Drosophila melanogaster: one gene and its partner. The protein of the gene in region 1 interacts with the protein of each later gene in a biochemical or structural test. Each region holds a gene or a part of one and is shown on either strand. Other genes may lie near its edges.

Region 1 (5,082 bases):
CATCCAAGCGAACTGTGGCCGAGGCCGAGCTCCTACCATCGAGCTCGGAGTCCGACTCAGGAAATGAGGATGAAGGAATGAGGATGTTCACCGACCGGCGAGGGAAGGCAGCCATCCTAGTGGATCATCAGGAAGCCTTCTATATGCCATTGGAAACCCTCACCACAGATTATGGCGTATGCCGGGTCGTTAAAGGAAGTTTTGGCTCAATCTTCATTAGAGCCGCATACTACCAGTTCAATGCAATTCTGGAACCGTACCTGTGGTAGATGGATGCGGACCTTCTGCAGGCCAGCAGAACCCCCGTAATCCGAATGCAGTGTCTCCATGTCGAGGGGCAAGCTAACTATAGACGGGGAGAGCTGCTGTCAGAGTGGATGCTTGAGGCAAGAGTCGCCGTGCTAAACCAGTCAACAGAGAAGTATACGTTCGATAATTACAGAGCTCGTAATTATAAAAACTATGAAATTTCGCGTTCGCACTCACACCAGCTGAGTAACGGCTATCTGATAGTCGGGGAGCTTGTCTAAAGCATTCTCACTTGTTTTTTTTTTATATTTTGCGCTTTTATATTTTGTGAGGAGCCATTCGGCTCCTCCATCCGCCTCCTACAGAACTCATCACGAAAAAGCGTGTGAGGAGTCTGAAAACTCCCCACAAATCCGGATGCAAAAAGCGCCAATGGCACAAAGGTCGAACGACAACGTTGCGGACTTTGGACATGGACATAGAAAACGCACCGTGAACTAACGTCACCGCGCTGGACCTTGGACTCGAGCTGGTCAAGGGCACAGAGGTCGACCGGTAACGGTGCATGCACAAAAAGGATGCACCGTGAACTAACGGTACAACTGTTGGACCTTGTACCCGAACGGGCCGTGCGCTAAAGGGGAAATAACGCGATCCCTGCGGGATACTATTGTCGAGGAGAGTAACGGCGCGAGCCGCGCATTCGGAACGGAGCCGGAAGGCGGAGGAGTAGAGAGTTAGTGACCAAGAACGCGCATGGAACGAATCACTAAGACAAAGAACCAGACTGCGCGTGGAAGGAGGTATTGTGGCAGCACGTGCAAGGATGGAGCTTGTGAATGAGAACGTGCAGAGAAGTCGGTAAAGAACAAACGAAGGAAGCGTCTGGCAGAAAGAGGCCGGCATAAGGAGCAAGGACCTGGCGTGTTTGGAAGGGTCAGTGGAGTCAGTGGTCGGCAAAGGTGGTCCCAGGCCGAGCATTGGCCGTGGTCAATACACCCTGTCCCATAACATCCTAATCCAATTCGACACACAGGACAAAGTAGGCAAAGCGTCGTAGGAGCAACGCCGCGCAGCAGACAGCGATCACCCGAGAAGTCAGTCCTTAATCTGAAACTCTGTCTTTTCCTTGGTCGCGCAATCACACAAATCATAAATTTGGTGGGACGAACTAAGAAAAACAGTTCGTTACAGCTTGTTAGCAGCGACAAACACTTTGTCGCCTTGGCTGTAAGAGATTGGGCACTGATCTTATGAGCCTAGGCCTTGCCTATATCCTATCAATCCTCTAACGTCCAGGACTTGTGTTTTGAAATTAGTGAAACATTGATAGTTAATTCTTTATATTATATAAATTATATTTTTTCATAATTTTATTACTGGTGTAAATTTCTATCGATTTGCCAAAAAGCTTTTTGCCACGCCCACTCTAAACCGCTAAAAAACTGCTTAAATTTTTCTTTGTTTTATTGTTTGTCTAACCAATTTAAATCTGTATAGCAAAAACACCGTGGCTACCCCCCTTTTTCACTAACAAATCGCCAAAAACGGTCACTCCCACACTTTTAAACAATTTAAATTTTTCTTTGTTTATTCCCCAATATCTATCGAAATATGATAAAAATTTGGGGTTCGCATTCACTCAGCTAGTGTGAGAGAACGTTATAGTCGAGTTCCTTGACTATCAGATACCCGTTACTCAGCTAGTGTAAATGCAAAGGCCAAATTTCATCACAATTCTGGGATATCGATAGATATTGGGGAATAAAATGAAAAAATTATTACAAATTGTTTAAAGTATGGGCGCGACCGGTTCCGCGCCTTTAGGGCGTGGGCGTGGCAAAAGGCTAATCTATAGAAATTTACAAGACTAATAAAATTATGATAAACATCGAAAATGGTTAAAAATGTGGGGGTGGCAGCGGTTGGGCGGCTGTAGGGCATTTTGCAAAGTTTGAGTTTCTGTATGCTGAAACTCAACCTTCTAGCTTTTATAGTTCTTGAGATCTCTACGTTCATACGGGCAGATGGACATGTATAGATCGACTAGCTATTGATCATAATAAGGAATATATATACTTTATATAGTCGGAAACGCTTCCCACTGCCTGTTACCTACTTTTTAACGAATCTAGTATTTCCTTTTACTCTACGAGTAACGGGTATAATTATTCGCTACGCAGAGCCATTCTCTTTGAAATAACTTAGCTAAATGATCGGTTAAACTCCTTTGCTTGATTCATATTCAAAAATACATACAAACTACCGTAATACCGTAAATACTGTAAGTATGAGACACAAAAACAAATACAACAAAATAGCCCAAAGGCATCGCTGAGGCCGGAAAGGTCAACGTGGAATCAAAGTAATGACAATTCGTAACATTCAAAAGAAATGGTAGGATATATAATTTAAAACTTATTCTTCTTTTTAAAACGCTTACGATAAAAAACATCTGTTCGCGTATAATACTTTCATATCCTTTAGACGGGTATAATCTAAAATATATAAGAGTACATCCGTGAACATAGGAAGAATACATGAGCTCACCGTTTTGTTTCCAAGATTTTTAATGCGACAATTTAGGTGTCCTGTTATGCCAACTAAGGATGTCACGTTTTTAGTAGCTGAAGTATCAAAGTAAGGGCCTCTATCCAGAACCCTTTTCATTGGAACAATATTTTCACTTATTAAATACAAGTCTGTCACGGTAACATTCTCTCTGAAATGTTGTGGGCAAGTTTCCTTTAAAATTACTAAGGAACTTATCATTTGTATGTTTCTTTACACATTTAAGTATACTTACAAATGCAAAGAAATATTCGAAAAGTTAAAAAAACTTTCATTTTTAATGATTTCAGTTTTCAAACATCATACACTAACTAACATACATTAGTTTAGTGGACTATTTCGTTTTTCCTTGAATTACTTTTCACATGCGCAAACGCATGCGCATTACTTAAAATACATTTTTAAAATATCTATAAAAATATTACAAGTTTTTCTCGGCAGCTATCCTTTCTTCTTAAGTTAATTATATTATTATATATATATATATATTATATACATATAATATATTATTAAATGTATATATATAAAATTATGTGTGAATAGATATGGTTACTATACTGGCAGGAGATGGCACTACAGGACAATTTGTAGCTCACTTGCAAGACACCGGAAATGCGTTAAGGCGTTCGTTCACTTTTAAAAACTGCGTAAAGAAACACTCTATATATGGATTGTTCACAAAAATACTGCAAAGGATTGCATATTGTTTTGAAAGGTACAAAAGCTGAAGTGACCCTCTCTGAAATCAGAGCGGGCGACACAAGAAATACGTTTGCGGAATATAATAAGATTAATAAAAATATAATAATAAGATAAGATAATTAGAGATTACTTAAATAGTACTTGTTTACGAATTGTGCCGTTGTATTTTTATCTTGGTATACTCGGCAAGATCATGAATGAGAAAGTCTCAGTGGTGGAGTAAGATATTTTTATACCCGTTACACATTTAAAAAATGTTTAGATTTTTCTTCGTTTAATTGTTTGTCTTGCCAATTTCTTTTGGTGTACCAAAAACACTTTGGCCACAACCTTCCTTACACCTAAAAAACGCCCAAAACGGTCGCGCCCACACTTGTAAACCATTTCTTAATTTTTTCTTATTTTATTCCCCAATATCAATCTATATCCCCGATATCCCAAACAAAAAATAAATTTTCACATTCGCATTCCCATTAGCTGAGTAAAGGGTATCTGATAGTCGAGAAACTCGATTATTTGTAATAATAGGCTCACTATAAGTCATTGGCTTATAGGAATTCTGTTCAATTTGGCTGGTCGATGTCTTTATACGATCAAAGCTTCCTTTGCATCTTTTCTTGGCAAATAAGTTTTTCAACCTTTTTCTCAATAACTGTTAAGCTATACCCACTAAATAGCGGAGTGGGAACTTTTAGGTCTTACAATTTTTCCAAATTAGGGGGGCGTTGGTCATTGTTGATCATATTGCTCAAAACAATTGAGAAAAATGCTAATATAACTTATATATATATAGTGAAATATGTAAGCTCAACCACATAAGATATATCTACAACATATACCAGCCACTTTATATATTCTTTTACTTAGCAACAATAGAAAATAGAAGAACGCCTTAGCACATAAGAAAAACAATTATTAGAACCCCAACTTCTTGGTGACAATAACATATTCGGCCGATGGAAACAATTTAACATAAACACAAACAGGGTGAAAACTGCTTACACAGCTTTAAGGGTCGAAACTTTCCACATAGCTCAAACTCGGCTGATCTGTATCCATGCGCATTCCACTCAAGAGAGCGCCTAATTAACGTAAACATAAATGAGAGCCTATGTACGCTCAATATGAAGAAGTAAATACTCAATACTCAGTAAATGCTCAACAAAGGGTTTGCTAAGCGTTCGCTTTGTAAATTAGACTTAGATTTTATTCATACTTCAATTGTGTAAGACGTGAATTTGTCTCCGACATTAGCTTAAGTTTTTGATCAATAAAAATACCTTTTTTTATAAACCAATAAACCGCGAAGTTGTAATTGGCGCAGTCGGTAGGATCTGCGTGTGAACATAATCTCTTAGAGCTAATAGATTAGTTCGAGATTAATAAAGCGCAGCTCGTGGCGAACAAAGTTTCGTTTGTGCTTCAGTTTATACAAAGCAGATCCGCAAAAGAACTTATGTGGCAAAATAATTGTGAATAGTTATCTAACTCTCGATGTTGGATATTATTAATACAAATATAAATTAAAAACTGCAAGTGACCATTAAAGTGTGACCCACC
Region 2 (5,216 bases), on another chromosome or scaffold:
AAATAGCGCCGATTAAATGCCCTAGGCAGCCCGTCGTCAGTCAGTTTGCTCCTTTCGACATGGAAATCGGAGCTTCGCAATTCCGGACACAATGCAGAGTGCATCCGACTTGGAGTGTCGCAGTAAATTTTACTCGAATTTATTGTTATCACTGGGCTTCGATTGTTTGGTTACATAACCTACCTACTTATCTATTCATATGTACATAACTTGTTTCGCTTAGACCCAATAAGCCGACATTTAAATATCCTTTTAAAGTCTCAAAAGGTTCGTCAGAATCGGAGACAAAGTAGCTTGAAAAGTAAATGTATTATGAGGGCAAACTACAGTTTCAATTAGAACTCATTTTTAATTATACCCCTAAGGGCTAGGTAAATGGAGGATGTGGCATACATTATTTTGACGGTAACATTGTAATGAGTGGATGCAAACAATTTTTGGCATGTGAATGGATAGTGATAATGAAATATTCCCCTCCACCTTCAACAAGATTTAAAGCCTGAATCTGAAAAGCAGACAGGTTCTAGGCTTATGGGCGCCAAGCAAAAATGTCTTTGGCGTTCTGTAGGGGCTTGCAAGATAATTAGAAAAATAATATTTTAAAACCTTTTTTAAATTTATAATTAAGTACTCAGGTTCTTTTAAGTGACTACGTTTACTCTAAGTAACTGAGTTTATATGTGGAAGTGTTTCAAATTCATTTCTGATAATTAAATTTGGAGATCATCATATATTTCGGTTCCAATGTGAGCCAGTTCAGGGTCAGTTCAGACCAATACAAATAGTTCCATAGGCGCAGAACTCGCACACAATTCCTCTGTGCTCAGTACAAAGATCGAGAAATATTTCCAATCTCCCAGACGCAGCACAAAACCAAAGATCCCTTTTCTATTATGAATTCGGATGGATTCCATTCGGATTTTATAAGATATTAGTTGATTAACCACTAGACACGGCGGACAAGGAGTCGCGAAGCTTCTTGCCTTGGTTCCGGTTAACCAGATGGAATCGAGATGAGTCTCAGTCAAATTTCAAATTAATGCTAACTGAAGTGCATGACTTTTTTTGTGTTGACCGAGATGCCAAAATTTGGCAATGGCTTTGGGAAGTTTCGGGGAATTTCTCGACAGGCAAACAAAAAAAATTAGGTATTTCGGAAGTATGCATTGTATACATTTTGCAAAAAGGGTTCCCAAATATAATGACAAAATGTTGCACATAAATTTTGATTATTCGAGACCAATAATAAAATTAATTACGTTCCCAAAGTAAAGTTTCCCAAAAAAAAACCATTAATAAAGATTTTGGAAAATTGCGTTTACAATTTTCTCTGTGCACTTTGAAGCTTGAGATTTCCTGTGCCCAAAAAGGTCCAAATTTACATTTGCCGCATAAAGCCCTTTCATTTGCCTCTTTGCTCTTTTTGTGTGCCACTGCATACATTTTACACACTTCATTATTTAATATAAAATGCATCCTCACACGCACACCTGCGCACAAGGGAAGACAATTGCTGGGCAAGGCGATGCGAATGAGTAAAAACGTTATTTAATTAATTAATTTTCATTAAAAACACGACAAAATGCGACGGCTGGTGGGTGGGGAGCGGATGGTTGCGAACAGGGTCGCAGAGGGGCGCAGAGGGGCGTGGCTGGACGGCGCAGGACATTAAAGGACGAGCAGATGCCTGCTCCTTCCTTGTCCTGTCACGCTGGCTGTCATTTACAATTTTAATCTCGCTGTGCAGCAGTTTAGCTTAAGTTCGGACGTCGGGATAATGAGCGGCCAGGTCCGCGCTTAAGGATAATGGAGCCTGCAGCTGGACAGTACTCCCTGTCCCACTCCATCTGTAATTAAAAAATCGCGCATGCAGCCAGCACTCCCTTCACCTGGTCGAATAAGGGCCAACGACCAAGTTGGCTCACAAATTTCATGGCTAATAAATCACTTTTAATATTAATAAAACATAAATCATTGCCAACTAAAAACTTGGCCTGCTAGTTGGATGCTGCAGTCTCATTTTGGCGCCTTTTGTTCGATGGCAAAAAGTTTCGGAGGAGTCTTCCAGAAAAGGTACCTCAAGAATGTGCCAAACTGGTGGCGGATGGCGAGGGATGAGCGAGAGATTGAATGGGGTTTTAAAGTTCAGGTGGGTGAAAGTTCTTGAAGGAAATCAGAAACACAAAAAGGGTTCAAAGCAATACATGGATACCGGATTTAAAATAAAATTGAATTCGGATCGTCTTACAAACCACTAAAAAAGATATTGAAAACCTTACTTAATTTTTGCAATGTGTAATGTATGCTATCATATTATATAAAATATATAATTACAAACAATTAAAAACGAAAAGAACACAAGCTGACAGTTTTATAATTATGTTAAACAATTTATCAAATCGTTAGTATGCGACAAAATGTACGATATGATTTTGACCATAAAAGGTGACTACATTTTCCCCACACGAAGGTATAAAGATAGTTGTTTTTGGGAAAAAAAACTGGCAAAAGTTAATTTGCAACTTGGCAAATCAACTGTTTTATTTACTGAAAACAAGAAACGAGAATAAAGGATTCCAACGAGTGACGAGTGACTCACATAAATGCAAACAAAGAAAGTTAATGTTAGAAAACGGAAAGGACATAGAAATTCAATGAACTGAAAAGGAATTCACTCATGAACAGTCGAGAGAATTCGCAAGAAAACAACTCGATTGGTGTAACAATTGGTTGAAAGGCTGAGAAAAGAAAGGGAATGCTAACATACCACCGATAATGCAATTGACAAATGAGTGAACAAGCGTATGTGAAATGATTTAGGCAGCGATCGACGGGCAATGGAGTAAAGGACTAAACGAGGGATTGGCTTCACCTCACTAGTGTAGTAATTTCTAAATACGCAGTCACAGCTCACATCGTATGCTTCGCGAAAAACTTTTGAATTTTTGGGTCTTAGAATTACCTTGTTCGAAAAAACAAGCAAAGCTTCGAAACTAGTCCAAAGCACTGGCCAACACTAAAAAAAAACTTGAAAATAATCAACTAACACTTGTCAAAAACTCTTCTCTCGACTTTCAGCTAGAGTAATTGTATCATTGTATCGTTGTTGTTTCGCGCCACTCGAAACCCGTTTTCGAAACTTTGGAATTTTTAGTTTGAAACTGAGTCCTTTCGTGTCTCGAATCCACTGGACTGAACTGAACCGACGCGCTAGGAAGTTGCCCGAGCACTGAACCTGTCGCACCAAGCGCGTTTCGCATTGGGCCGACCCAGCGCAATGTGCTCGTCCTTCGGCAGCACGGCCATCCCGATTTCCCAATTTCCCGACTTCCGATGTCCTGGCACTGTGGAGTCCCGTGTCCCGTGCCTGCCATCCCGAGGCCAGCCGAAATGCTTCCGAAGGACGAGCTCGTGTGGCGGACGAAGGCGTCAGTGCTTGTCCTCTGGCAACATGTTGCCAGCAACATTTAGAAGCTGGTAAATTTACTAGAGCAATTGCCTTAACTTAAAACGCAGAGATCTGCATAAGTGGTTAGTTTTGCCCAGTTGATTATTATTGGTTGAAAAACATTCTAAAAGAAAAGAAAAACGAGTTAAAGTTATACAGAAACCAATTGCTGAAATATAAAAGGCTGTATGTTTTACCAAGAGCTAGTTTTTCGGTTGTTCGCTTTCATCATTTTTCAAATGGGATATAACATTGTTAGCTGTTTTGGAATACATATAGAATTTATATCAGCCGACTTTTGACGATATTTTAAGCCTTACCTTGTGCAAAAAATTAGGAAAAGTCAAAGAAAGACGAAAGCATATTGAAAATAAATCGAACGTTAGAAAATATATCTTTATTTTGCTTGATCACTTTTTAAAACATATTAATTAAATTTCCAAAAAAAGATTTTAATGAATGCGACTATCGGATATTTATTAATCACCTAAGGACTGTGCAAGGGAGATGGAAAGGTGGAAGCAAGCAGAAGTCTCAATAGACTTAACTTTTACTTAATTTACTTTACATAGGTTGCAATAGTTCGATTAAGGCAGTTTTTGTTGTTGAAAAAATAGGAACATTTTAGCTAGACATTAACGACAACTGTAACTATAACGTTTGAAGATAACTTGTAAGACTAGTCACTAGTTTTTATACACTTCCTTCTGCTTCTGTTACATACATACTTGTCAACGACTCCAGATTGCATTGTTTCTTAGCTAGGTTAGGTAACAAAACTTGTTTTGAGCACATCATCTTATTTTATTTATTTATTTAACAAAATTAAATATAGTATACAATACTAAACCTAATTAAATTTAATGAGTACTAGCTACGGGGGCCTTCGACTCGAGACTTATGGGTTAATTGCTTTATATAATAAACTTAGCTTTTTGGACAAATTTGTAAATTTTTGAGATATTTTCACAGGATGGGATACTTAAACAATTCGAGAGACTATGTGTACCAAATAAGTGAGATCTAATTGAGTGCAATTGACTGCAGGCGTTGAGAATATGGTCAACGGTGAGCTCGTCCCCGCATAGTTGGCATGTTGGTCGCGCCGATCTCGTCAGTAAGTGTTGATGTGTGGATTGGGTGTGCCCGATGCGTAGACGGATAAAGGTCGCGCATTCCCGTTTATGTACGTTCGTTGGTGGCTTGAACATGATGCAATTCGGATTGATAGACTGGTACCTGTGCATGAAGAGTGCCCATTCGGAGAGTTTCCTTTCTTTGAGGTATAACTTGATTCGACTTTTTAGGTCCTTGGAGTTAAACGGAGTGAACAGGATTGATGGTGTAAGCCTCATCTCTTGGGCGGCTTTGTCAGCAAGTTCATTCCCATGAATACCTTGATGACTGGGAACCCAGAGTAAGGTGATTTTTTTTGGGTGAGAACTTAGAATGTGCCTAACTTCTTGTGTTGTGGGGTCATTATGGTTCCAGTTGCGTATAGCGGAAAGAGAGGAGAGGCTGTCTGTGCAGATAACAGATTTTCCAGCGTTTTTGGAAGCGAATTGGCATGCTTTGAGAATGGCGAAAGCTTCGGCTGTAAATATGGAGTTGTAGGACGGAAGCCTACCTCCTGCAATTATTTTACGGTTAGAGTCAACGACCGCAAAAGTAGTTGCGCCGGTGACTTTAGAACCATCGGTGTAGATCCAGTTTTTCACACCAAGATCTTCTTGTGCGCTCATAAAACGTTTTTGGTATTCTAGGCGAC

What was found.
Region 2: the proteins of dpr21 (region 1) and DIP-beta form a complex in vitro, tested with the Drosophila melanogaster proteins (one study listed by BioGRID).

Annotation. Positions count from the first base shown.
Region 1 is NT_033778.4:3,064,600-3,069,681, reverse strand, and holds the start of dpr21 (defective proboscis extension response 21), read right to left. Parts: upstream 3,184-5,082; 5' UTR 3,096-3,183; coding exon 3,056-3,095; intron 3,006-3,055; coding exon 2,800-3,005; intron 1-2,799.
Region 2 is NC_004354.4:21,454,504-21,459,719, forward strand, and holds the start of DIP-beta (Dpr-interacting protein beta), read right to left. Parts: upstream 3,236-5,216; 5' UTR 3,048-3,235; exon of another isoform or gene 2,963-3,047; intron 1-2,962.